Linked DNA regions of Ovis aries. The protein of the gene in region 2 binds, or shares a complex with, the protein of the main gene of each other region. Links are inferred from orthologs where the notes say so. Each region holds a gene or a part of one and is shown on either strand. Other genes may lie near its edges. The genes, in order: INTS12, INTS6 and INTS7.

Region 1 (3,775 bases), on a different chromosome or scaffold from region 2:
CACGGGGTTGCAAAGAGTCGGACACGACTGAGCAACTTCACCACCACCAAGGAAGAGTTGATATCCAAGGGATAGCCCTTATTGTCACATAGAGACTTGGTGAGCTAGAGTAGAAGTAAGAATGATTTATTGAAAATAATTAGAGTTGCTATATTCTATACTTAAATTATTTTCAGATAGATTTTTATACTAACCTATTACTGCTGCTGCTAAGTTGCTTTCGTCGTGTCCAACTCTGTGCGACCCCATAGACGGCAGCCCACCAGGCTCCCCTGTCCCTGGGATTCTCCAGGCAAGAACACTGGAGTGGGTTGCCATTTCCTTGTCCAATGCATGAAAGTGAAAAGTGAAAGTGAAGTCGCTCAGTCGTGTCCAACTCTTTGCGACCCCATGGACTACAGCCTACCAGGCTCCTCTATCCATGGGATTTTCCAGGCAAGAGTACTGGAGTGGGGTACCATCGCCTTCTCCAACCTATTACTACCAAGGCTTATTTTTAGGAAACTCAATATGAAATTATTTTGCAGCAAATAAATTAAGGCTTTGGCTGTCATGTTTGTTCTGATTAAGAGGTTTGATATTTTTATGATAAAATAGAATAAATGTTTAGTATGAAATTCAATAAATTGAAAAGCAATACCAGTAACAGCAAACCATTAAAATAAAATGTCATATACACGGAACTTGCTTTGTACTTCATAAGTTTTGGGTCTTTTTGATTACTTCAGATGGGTTTTCTTTTGTAAAGTTTGTTGAAAGATCATTTAGTCAAATGGCAGGCAGTTTTATATTTATTAGAAAGAAAAGGAAAAAATAACATCTTTTATAATTGAAAATTAAGTTTACTATACCTGTGTCCTTTGCTACCTTGACTAAATTTTTCTCATTAAATATATGCATTTCTCTAGGAATTTGCAGTTTATGTAAAGTTTATCTTCTTTGCATAACCTTATGAGATAGTCATTATATGATGTAACTGTAAAAAATCCTATCACTTTTCACAGTATGTGAAAAATAATCTGGACCTTCCTCTTCTAAAGACCTCAGAGCACTCTATTTTCAGTATTCTTCTCATTGGTTTATAATGTTTCGTGCAGACAACATTGAAGACTACTTTGTAAGAATTAAAAACGTTTTTATCAATTCATTCGGAGTTCAGTTCTAAAATATAATTGGGTGTATTCTAAGCATGATAACTAGCATATTAAGTAAGATACTATTTGTAAGATTTTTATCTTTTACATATTTAACACTTTCGTGACCCATGAAAATAAGATAGAAAAATTCATTTCACAATCAATTTGAACAAAGTGCATTTTCCCCTAAATGTTAATGTGAAAAATATTGTTTTGTATGAAAAAGAACAGTATTTATGTAGTGACATTGGTACTCTGTTAGCTTTTGACTGTCCAAGGAAGTTACTTAGAGAAATGTAATATGTGTTACACCTTTAAGGAATAAATCTGGGAATGAGTCAGGCATACCCAAAATGTCACTATACGGCTTATTGAGGCAGTTTATAAAAAATCCTTTATATTGAAACAGGGACCTCTTTGTGATAGTTTCAGTGGAAACATGGACAAATTGGGAAAATAAAGTTATGAAATGTTTTTAGTATATCACCCGTTGTACAATTTCATGTAGTTAATGCAGTATACTTGTATATATGCAAGTATTTGCTCAAAATTTAGGGGGAATTTTTCTTTTAAATAGGTTCAGAATCTCATCTCAGACATCTAAGTATCCTGGGCATAAGAATTTTTGTCCATTAAGAGTGGATTCTGTTTTTGAATTGATCCACAAGTCATTTGGAGTAGGTCTAAAGAATTAGAAGTTTTACAGCTAAATAATAACCTTTTTGCATGAAAAACAACTTAAAGCATTAAATCTGATTTTCTGATGTGGCTTGTGGCTGAATCTAGAAGCAGTCCTCAAAAAGGAAATTTTTTTCTGAAATGATTAGAATAAGAATATGACATACCATAACTCCTGCTTTGGAAATGGTAGCACCGTTAGCTATGGATAGGTTTTCTTCTATGTGCTTTGTCATATCAGTTTATCAGAACTTAATTTTGATGATTTAAATTTCCAAGATCATTAGTTTTATAAAAAGTCTTAACCATTAATCTTCTTTTGTATTTAAGAATATTAGGTATTAATTATACTTTCCTCTAATATTTATCTTATATTTTTTAGGCATCCACGGTTGTTTCAGGAAATTCTTCTAGCACCAATGTTTCCTCTTCAGCAACTAGTGGCCTAATTGGATGGGCAGCTTTTGCAGCGAAAACCACTTCTGCTGGTCCATCAACAGCAAAATTGAGTTCAGCAGCCCAAAACAATAGCGGGAAACCTGCTACCTCTTCTGCTAACCAGAAGCCCGTGGGTTTGACTGGTCTGGCAACAACATCCAAAGGGGGAATAGGTTCCAAAATAGGTTCCAATAACAGCACTTCACCCACTGTACCATTGAAACCACCTCCACCTCTCACTCTAGGCAAAACTGGCCTTAGTCGCTCAGTTAGTTGTGACAATGTTAGCAAAGTAGGTCTTCCCAGTCCAAGTAGTTTGGTTCCAGGAAGCAGCAGCCAACTCAGTGGGAATGGAAATAGTGGCACATCAGGGCCTAGTGGAAGTACCACTAACAAAACCACTTCTGAATCGAGCACCTCTCCATCGGCATCCCTTAAAGGTCCAACTTCACAAGAATCACAACTCAATGCCATGAAGCGATTACAAATGGTCAAGAAGAAGGCTGCCCAAAAGAAACTCAAGAAGTAATGTGGCCAAGTAGGTTTTTATATCATACTACCCTAAAGATTAAAATCTTATGACGATATAATCTGTAATATACTATAATTTAATAAAAATCTTCATAATGAAATTTCTACTATTTCTTACCTTAAAATGCTAAATAGTATTTAGTGAAACTTAGAAATGTTTATCTTAAATCTGTTTTAACATCTTTATTTTGACAGTTTTCATAGTGTGTGAAAACTGATTAGAATGACTAATTCTTAATAAAAACTTCTGAAATCCCAGAAGACTGGTGCATCTGCAGATTTTAAAAAAAAAAAAAAGCATCTTCTAACAACGTCCCAATAACTGATCTTGCTGAATAGGTGCCTTACAAGAAGACAAGGATGGCCCGATAATAAAGTTTCCCACTCCTCGCCCACCATAGTCTGAATGTTCAGTGTCAGTCCCAGGCTCATTTCAATTGATTCTCCTTCTCCCCCCAAATATTTCAACTTCTTCTTTTCAAAAGTAATTTTTCATGTTCTTGTGTTATGCTTTTATCTTATCACCTCATATCAATTACTTAGGCATTTATCTCTTCCAATCGATGGTGAACCCCATGCCCTTTCAGTGCAATGCTTTTCTCACTTTTCTCTCAGAAATTGTGAGGGATTTCAGTTGTTACCTTATTCTAACAGAAGACATAAGGCTTTCTGGATCAGAGAAATAGTTCATTGTTCACAGCAAAATGTAGCAGTCATTCTATACTTCATGAATACCTCATTTCATTCAGAAACTAGACATCCAGCAAATTCCTACATTCACTAAACTTGAGCAGCCTGTTTCTTCAGCTTTGAGGTATGCTACTAAAACTATAAACTTCTGAACTCAAACTCTTGCCCATAATTCCTATATTTTCCTCACATTATTGTTCTAAAATATATTGGTAAATGCTTTCTGTGAAGTTAAAACATTTTTAAGTAAGCTTGGCCTTTTTTAAGGAAAGACGTTTTAAACTGCTTTGTTAAATAGCAGC
Region 2 (4,433 bases):
GAGGTAGTGATCTGATCTGATCTGATTGGCATTTCATGAAAACCAGGCTGACATTACTGTGTGGAGTATTTTTTACTGAGCGAAAGTGAAGTCGCTCAGTCATGTACGACTCCTAGCGACCCCATGGACTGCAGCCTACCAGGCTCCTCCGTCCTTGACCCCACAGACTAAGTTAAATCCTCTTGCCAAATACTTCCACAACAAGTATACTTGACTTCCCTTTTTGTAATATTCATCACACTTCTAAGGAAATGTGTGATGACTTTCTTCCCTCATTATAAATGAAGGCAGAGATCACTATTATCTGTTTATAGCTACATCTCAATGCCTAACCCTGTCTAAATTAAGCATCTCATTTAATAATTAGTTGCCGAATTAAACAAATTGAAAACCATCTTTCTGTGGGTATTGATAATGCCCCTTTAAAAACTGTCATTTCTAAACGCTAAAGATTTGCAAATGATATTTCAAATCATGATAGCTATTAAGCATAATGAATGAATATATGAAATGTTCATTAAAAAGACATAAAAAATGATTACATGATAATTTGGAATAAACAAATATCTTCTCTAGACACTCTTGGAACTTTATCCACTTTTTCTATATCAGAAAACTCTCTCCCATGAAGAACCAAACTAAAAGCAGCAAATACTGTTTAAAGAAAAACCCTTACTTTTATGAAGAGGAAGGGGTTTAATGAGGTCTGGCTGTGCTTGGGTCATAGGTGCCGGTGGTCCTTTCCCCCCGATGTGGTTGTTCACAACTGGGCTCTGCTGCCGGCCCCGCAGCAGTGGAGACATGCAGCGCCGTCTCTTAGGGATACCTTGCATACTTGGTTCTCCAGGTCGTTTATGTTTATTTTGAGGCCCAGCCACAAGTTCATCTGCCTCATCTATCATCATACCCTGTAACAACGAAGAATTTCCTGACTTTACATATGGTTTTCAGTTGTACGACAAACTCCAATTCCCATTAAAGTACATTTTAACGATGCTGACATTGTATCCTACCAAGAAAATAGTTTCGGCTTACTTTAGTTAAATTAAGAACTGTTAAATCTACTGTGCCTCCCACAAAAAAAAATTATATAATGAAACACTTCAAATTTACCTTTTTATCCAGCTTAAAGGGGTTGCCAAATGTATGCAACCTCCGAGGCTGATCAGGATCAAGTTCTCTTAATGGAGAAGGTACTTGCTTGAGGTATTCCTGGTAATTCCCCATTTGTGCTATAGGAACACTGTGCACTTGATCTTTTCAAACAGAACAAAGCAATAATAAAAGTTAACTTCACTAAAACTACCTTCCATTTAGTTAACAAATAATGTGTTCTTATGTATGAATGCAACCTGGTCTATTCTAGGCAACTTTTCCTTACCATATATTCTAAATTAGTTTGTTGCCATTATAAATATTGTGACAAAATCTTGAGTGCTTTTTAATAAAATTTTAAATAATCAATTTTATCTTCTAAACAAAGCAAAAATATTGCAGTTAGTTTCAGTATATAGAATAAACAGTATGTGTAACCCTTCTATGAAAATGTCTCTTCTATTCTACTCCAAAGCAGAATTTAGTTAAAGCATAATTTACAGAAAAGAGTATCACAGAGATGATCCTTTTCATATAAAACTGTAGTTGAAATGTAGAGTTGGCAAAGGGTTAAGTTCTCATCTGACTTGATTTGTAGGTGCCAAAGGTATAGTTAAGGAAATACTAGAATATGACATATATTGGCCATTCCAAGTTAACCTATCAGATACTAGTAGATCACAAGAAAATGATTTTGTGTGTGCCTGTGTATGTGAATGTATGAAGAAAGCCATAAGGAAACTAAGCTATTACCAAAGGTTGTTTCCTCTGGAGAACAGAATTCGGGGCAACAGTGATGGTAGAATTCACTTTCATTCAATGAGAGTGTAATATTACAGTCAACTCTTTAAAAGTTACAATAACACTCTGTATTTTCAATATAAAGAAAAGTTTACTGAAGAAACACCAATATTAAAACCATGATCTAACCTTCATCCTGTCCTTTAAGAAATCTGCGGGTGCTCTTCAAAAGATTAGATCTCATTCTTGTTAAGTGATCCAAAAGATTCCGTCTTGGTATGTCATATGCATTTCTAAACGTCTGTGGCTTCAAATCCTGTTTTAAAAAGATTCAAAGACAAAATGTATTTTGAAACAGAATTAAGAGACTACAATCTCTAGCCTGCAGCACAGCTTTGAAAATAAGATATACAAGTCAACTAATTAGCTTAGAAAAATAGAATAAAGAGATATGATACCATCGTAATGTACTGTTGTAATAACCAAAAGATAGTGAAGTGAAGCTCAACCGAATTATCTCAAATTCACATCTGTCCAAGATTTCATTATGTATTCTGGCTAACAGAAGTAAATAAAAGCTTTTATGTGTAATTTACATACCATTTACAACCCATTTTACATAAACAGTTTGAGCGCTAGTAAATGTTCAGTTGTGAAACCATCACTAGCATCAGTTTTAGAACATCCCCATCACTTCACAAGGGTCCATGTGCCCACTTGGCAGTCACTCGCAATTCCTATCCCCGCAACCACTAATCTGCTTTCTGTCTCTCTACATCCCATTTCATAAATGGAATCCTGCAATATGTAATCTTTTCTATCTGGCGTCTTTCCACAAGCATGTTTTTGAGATTCATCCATGTTGTCCATGTATTGGTAGTTTATTCCTTTTTACTGTCTTTTCCTTTTTACATGGATATACTATATCTTTATTCATTCACCAGTTGATGAACACTTGGACTGTTTTCAGTTTGGGGCAATTACTAATGCTGCTACGAATATTTGCATACAAGCCCTTTACACACACATATTTTCATTTATCTCAGTAGATACCTACAAGTAGAACTGTTGGTATATAGCAACATTTACCTTTCCTAAGAAACTGCAGATTAACTTGATAATTTTCATCAACAATGTGTAAGAGTTGCAGCTGTTCTATAACCTTACCAACATTTCATATTTTTCAGTCTTAAATTTTAGCCATTCTCAGTTCAGTAGTGGGCATAAAGTGGTATCTCACTGTGGTTTTAATTTGCATTTCCCCACTTGACTAATAATGTTGAACATCTTTTCGTGTGCTTGTTCAGGTCTGTATATCCTACCTGGTAAGGTGTCTACTCAAATATTTTGTGTATTTTTTTTTGGATGCTTATCTTTTTATAACCGAGTCTTAGTGTTCTTGCCTGGAGAATCCCAGGGACGGGGGAGCCTGGTGGGCTGCCGTCTCTGGGGTCGGACAGACTCGGACAGGACTGAAGCAACTTAGCAGCAGCAGCAGGATTTCTTTATATATTTTCATACAAGTTCTTTACTCAACATATGCTTTTCTCCTAGGCTGTAGCTTGTCTGGGAGAAACTTCAAAGTTTCTTCTGAAGACAAAAATTATAATTTTACTAAAGTTCAGTTTATGAAGTTATGTGTATGTGCTTTTTGTGTTGTATTTTAGAAATCTTCATTGACCCAAGATCCAACATCTTATAGATATTTTTCCTATAGAAGTTTATAGTTTCAGTTCTTACATTTATAACTATGATCACATTAACTAATATAAGGATCAAGTTCATTGTTTTGCAGATGGATAGCTAACTGTTCCCACCCTATCTGTTGAAAAGACTGTCTTCTTACCCACTAAATTATTCTGGCCATCTTTGTTAAAAATTAACTCTATATATGAAGGTCTACTTCTGTCCCACCGACCAAATATTTTTCCAGCAACACATATGTTATCACTGTAGCTTCATAGTAACTTTTAAAATTAGACAGTGCAAGTTTTTCAGCTTTGTTCTTTCGCAAAATTGTTTCAGCTACTCTAGGACCTATATACCTCCATATAAATTTTAGAACCAGTCTGTCAGTTGTGACAAACAGGCAACTAGGATGAAGATCTTTTTAATAATGAGATTCATAAAGCATTTCAGGATTATACTGTGTAGCCAAGGTCAGTAGTATAAGTACCAAACTACAGTGAATTCTACTATTAGCTATGTAACTTCAGGCAATCTCTAAGTCTGTTTTCTATCTATAAAATGAACATGATGGTTTGCTCTTCATCAGTCCATCTGCTAATCCACTCACCATGTACAGTGTTTTAAAATTCAATGATTCAATAATATTAATAGCATAATTGATCATTATTCTGCAGAGGTATAGAAGTTTGGACAAACTGGGTATCAGTTAATAGAAAATTTTACATATTTGACAATATAGACTATTACTAGAGCAGTACAAAATTCACTTAACTATTACCTTATTGAGCAAAGCAACCTGGAACCCAGTGTATTCTTTCATATTAAGGTCCAGCAGTCTGTGAGGAACATCCTCTGAAATTCCCTGGAGCAGCTGTTGAAAATCTTTCCTATAAGCCATTGATAAACCA
Region 3 (4,433 bases), on a different chromosome or scaffold from region 2:
ACTGTATAAACTAATATACACTTACACATTTATTTCAGTAATTTCATTAGTTCTTTGTGACCTTATCAGTGTTACCTCAGATTATAAAACTTGCAAAAGTACAGGAGCTCTGTCTGTTTAACTTTGCTTTACCTTATCTAGGATCATCATACATATCTATTACAGCTTAATAAATACTTTCAACTGATGGCAAAATAGGCCAAAATCAAATTTTAACTTCATCTGTCTTTCGGAATAATAACAGTCAAAATACTAGCTTTGAAAGTGAAGATCAAGGGCAAATATTTGTTTAAGCCAGAGGCTGACAAACTCTTGCACTTGGACCAAATCCTGCCTGTTTATGCAAATAAAATTTTACCAGAACATAGTCATACCATTAACCCTTCTCTTGAAAAAAAAAAAAAAAAAATTGTCCATGGCTATTTTTTCCCTATAATAGCAGAACTGAATAGTTGTGACAAAAAGTGCATTGTCTGCAAAGCTTAAAATATTTACTATCTGACCCTTTACAGAGAGACTGGCAATCTACACTTCTGGCAATGAAAACAGGCATTATATAAAAAGAGCTGATGTTTTTACCTTTAAAGTGGCTTGAGCACCTGGGCTATCATCTTGACTACAAAGCACCAGAAGGGATTCCAGGCCAAAGACAGCATCTTGTTCCAGTGCCAAAAGGTCTAGAGGAAAAATACTGTGTCTTTAATGGTCAAGTAGAGAAGATTACATACACACACACACAGATGCACACAGAAGAAAAAAACATTCAGGACAAGAAAATACCAAACAGCTTAGCTAAGAAAGATACTAAGTACAGCAAACCATGTATCGACATGGTGTGTGTCAAATCTTCCAAACTAGCCTAACATTATGCAGGTCCATTTTTACCTAGGATGCAACCTTCTCATTGAAGTAGAAATGCTTTCTAGAAATAATCAAGATCCCACTTCATCTTACTAGTGTTTTAAGTCAGATCATAAAGAAATGAACCCTCTAGATGTCTCATGTAATACCAGTACTATATCATCTTTTCACTACTTTTGAGCTAAAATTTCTCTGAAGTTCTGTGTGTGTGTGTGTGTGTGTGTGTGTGTGTGTGTGTATATAAAACCACATTTAGGTTAATATTAACATATGTCAACTTTGAGAATACAGAGCAATTTTCTGTGTTACATGGTAGATGATGCTTATTACTATGCCAAAAATTGAGTTATTGAAATCAGAATGAACAAACAACTTAAATGCCTTTTGAGTCAGTGTAAGAGCTTGGCAAACAATGTCTGGTGAAGATCAAGGTGCTGGGAAAACAAAGGTACTAGTCACAAGCAGTGCTGAAGCCTAGTGGGGATAAGAGGGACTGCTGATTCTTAACAAAGATCAAAATAAGCACTGAAACAGATGAAACATCCAGAACGCATTCCTGTTTTTGAACACCAGCATGAATTTGTTTAGGTCAAAAGATGTTAAGAATACAATAAAATATATGCATTATTTTCTATGCACATCCTTCTTGACTATGCAAGTCATTTAATGCTATAGATACATAGAGATAAATTCCATGACAGTTTAACTTACATTGCTCTGTTAATTCATTTTCCCCCAGGTGAAAACTATCTGTTACTTAAGCCTCTCAATAACTTTGTATGCTTTTTCTCCCCTAAATTTTCTAGTTTTTTTTTAAACAAGTGAACAAACTGATAATCACTGGATAGTTATAAGCAGCCTCTATCCATAGCATCATACGAGCAAAGGTAAAGCCATAGGAGGAGATGGGCAATGCTCCGTAAAACCTTTCAGTTCTGCACTCCCAATCCCAAGATCCTCATTTCGTTTTCCCAAAGAATTAGGTAGTTTTGAGAAAATATGCCCTAAGAACATTCAGGAGGAGGTGACTAATAGATAAAAGCACACAGCCTAAAAATAATAAGGGATTAAAAAATGAAATACAAACAGGACTCTGGTGAAACTCCAATCTGAAAGTTCATACATAGTATCAGTCTTGATCAAACTTACCTTTTTCTTGACAAGATACAGTTATATTAGTTAGGACTCTCACTCCATGAGCTGCAATGCCCCTGTTATTATGGTAACAGCACTCTTGGGCTAATTTGACTAAATCAGAGGATCTAGGGGACGAAGCCACATTTCCTAAGCAAGCAAAGAAAAGTAGGGCAGATTTAATTAATTTACACAGTTCAAAAGCAGTTCATTTTATAGGTTCATTTTTTATCATTTTCAAAAGAAAATCTCTAACAATGAATTTCAACAAAATTTTCTACCTCAACCCTATGCTCAATATACAAAACCATCCCTTTTTCTCCTGTTCACATACTTAGAATAAGTATATACTAAATAGTTTTCTAATGATTAAGATCTAAAATTAACATAATACTGCTGCTGCTGCTAAGTCGCTTCAACCATGTCCGACTCTGTGCGACCCCACAGACAGCAGCCCACCAGGCTCCCCATCCCTGGGATTCTCCAGACAAGAACACTGGAGTGGGTTGCCATTTCCTTCTCCAATGCAGGAAAGTGAAAAGTGAAAGGGAAGTCGCTCAGTCGTGTCCGACCCTCAGCGACCCCATGGACTGCAGCCTTCCAGGCTCCTCTGTCCATGGGATTTTCCAGGCTCCCCCCACTGAAATATTAATAAAAATTGACTAAGAAACACACCAAAAGCCAAGACTGTATCTTGGGCATTCAAACGGATTCTCATTAAAACAGAATCATTACAAGGCTTCTTGCCAGATTAAAAACCTTCCATTCAAGAGGAGAAAAGAGAAACAAAAATTTTAAGTTTGCTCAATTGCTGGCATGTAGTTATACTGCAAAAGGTTTATGTAAGAATTTATAATTTTAGAGCTACCAAGGACTTGGAGATCTTCTGATTCAATACTATTTTTACAGAAGAAATTGAAGCCTAAAGATCTTAAGCATCTTGCCACCGAGGTCATATAAACTTGTTAGTTATGCACCAGCTTTGTGCTTTATACGTTAAGTTCTATCCTACAGTTAAAAATCACACTTGAAATTCTGTAACATAAGGTTTATGCTGTGAATGTTTTTATTTATAGCAGAGAAGCTCTCAGTTATAGGTGAGTTTAGCATCAAGAAGAATCTGAAGATTAAAGCTAATTCAGCTTCTCAGCAGGGTCTTTCATTCCTGTCTTTCTTTGCCCTGTTTATTTTTCCATGATTCCTATCAACTATAACCTTTTACACTGAGGGCAATCACCCTTTTTGAGGTTTGAAGGGGACACTATTACTAATAACAACAGGCATAAACCAAGACTATCCCAGGTAGTCTGGGACATATGGTCACCTTACTGATTTCCAGTTTAACATGAAACTACTAGCGTAGGTAAGGCCTCAGTGTTTTTCTGATAGGCAAAACATGTGAAAGGATTTTTTTTCACAAAACAATGGAAATTGTAATTTTCTCCATTTTTTCCCTTGTACATGTAATATGGACAATGACAACTCATCTATAAATTCACAAATGTTTTTAACTTGTTTTTTCCTTTTTTTTTCTCACTGAGATGTCAAAGAAAACTTGGGGGAAAAAAAACAGGAAATAAAAAAGCCTCTAAACTCACAAACCAGCATAACCTTATTATTAGCTTTCTGTAGTACTTAAAAATCTTTTCCCTATGCATACAATTATAACTTTAAAATTCATAATCAGGATAAGTAGATACTGTCAATATTCTGCCTTTAAAATATAATATTTGTGAGCATTTTTCTGTGTCAATTGTTTCAGGGATAAAATTATTATTTTTAGTTTTTTTATTTAGAAATAATTTTGTAAGATAATTTACTTGGTTCGAAAAGTTCAACCAATAGTAGGAAAAAGGTAAAAAGTTACTGAGTGAAAAGTCTTCCTCAAACACCTAAGGTTATATCTCTTGTGTATCATTCTAAAGAGTCTACACATTTGTAAGCACAATCCTTTCTTTTTTCCTGTTTTAAACACTGCTGCGCATCCTGCTTTATTTCCCCCAGACATTATGTCATGGAGGTTATTCCATGCCATATATTCTTTTTAGTAAGCTGCACCGATTGCTACTGCAGTTTTGTATCTTAATTTCTTTAATGAGTTCCCTATTGATGGACCTTCTTATGCTACTCCATCTCCAATGATGGACAATATTTTGCTACTACATTAATGATGCTATGAATAACCATGTACATATCATTTTTCAAATGTGAGACTAAATTAGTAGGATAAATTCCAAGAAGTGGAATTTCTCTATGTTTTTCACTTATAATTTTGATGAGTACTTCCAAATTACCTATGCTGAAGTTTAACAATTTACATTCCCACCAGCAGTGAATGAGAGTAGCTTTTGATTAGCCACCCCCTTGTCAACATATTATCAAACTTCTGGATCTTTGCCAAACTGATGGATTAGAAAAATATTTCAGTGTTGCTTTAA

Evidence for each region.
Region 1: INTS6 (region 2) and INTS12 share a complex: the UniProt entries of both Homo sapiens proteins name them as parts of the integrator complex. The link is inferred for Ovis aries from reciprocal best matches to the Homo sapiens genes INTS6 and INTS12.
Region 3: INTS6 (region 2) and INTS7 share a complex: the UniProt entries of both Homo sapiens proteins name them as parts of the integrator complex. The link is inferred for Ovis aries from reciprocal best matches to the Homo sapiens genes INTS6 and INTS7.

Annotation. Positions count from the first base shown.
Region 1 is NC_056059.1:19,866,065-19,869,839, forward strand, and holds the end of INTS12 (integrator complex subunit 12), read left to right. Parts: intron 1-2,196; coding exon 2,197-2,781; 3' UTR 2,782-2,884; downstream 2,885-3,775. UniProt on the Homo sapiens protein: Component of the integrator complex, a multiprotein complex that terminates RNA polymerase II (Pol II) transcription in the promoter-proximal region of genes.
Region 2 is NC_056063.1:21,148,271-21,152,703, forward strand, and holds part of INTS6 (integrator complex subunit 6), read right to left. Parts: coding exon 4,304-4,433; intron 2,153-4,303; coding exon 2,026-2,152; intron 1,257-2,025; coding exon 1,114-1,256; intron 909-1,113; coding exon 677-908; intron 1-676. UniProt on the Homo sapiens protein: Component of the integrator complex, a multiprotein complex that terminates RNA polymerase II (Pol II) transcription in the promoter-proximal region of genes.
Region 3 is NC_056065.1:70,997,401-71,001,833, reverse strand, and holds part of INTS7 (integrator complex subunit 7), read right to left. Parts: intron 2,146-4,433; coding exon 2,011-2,145; intron 678-2,010; coding exon 580-677; intron 1-579. UniProt on the Homo sapiens protein: Component of the integrator complex, a multiprotein complex that terminates RNA polymerase II (Pol II) transcription in the promoter-proximal region of genes.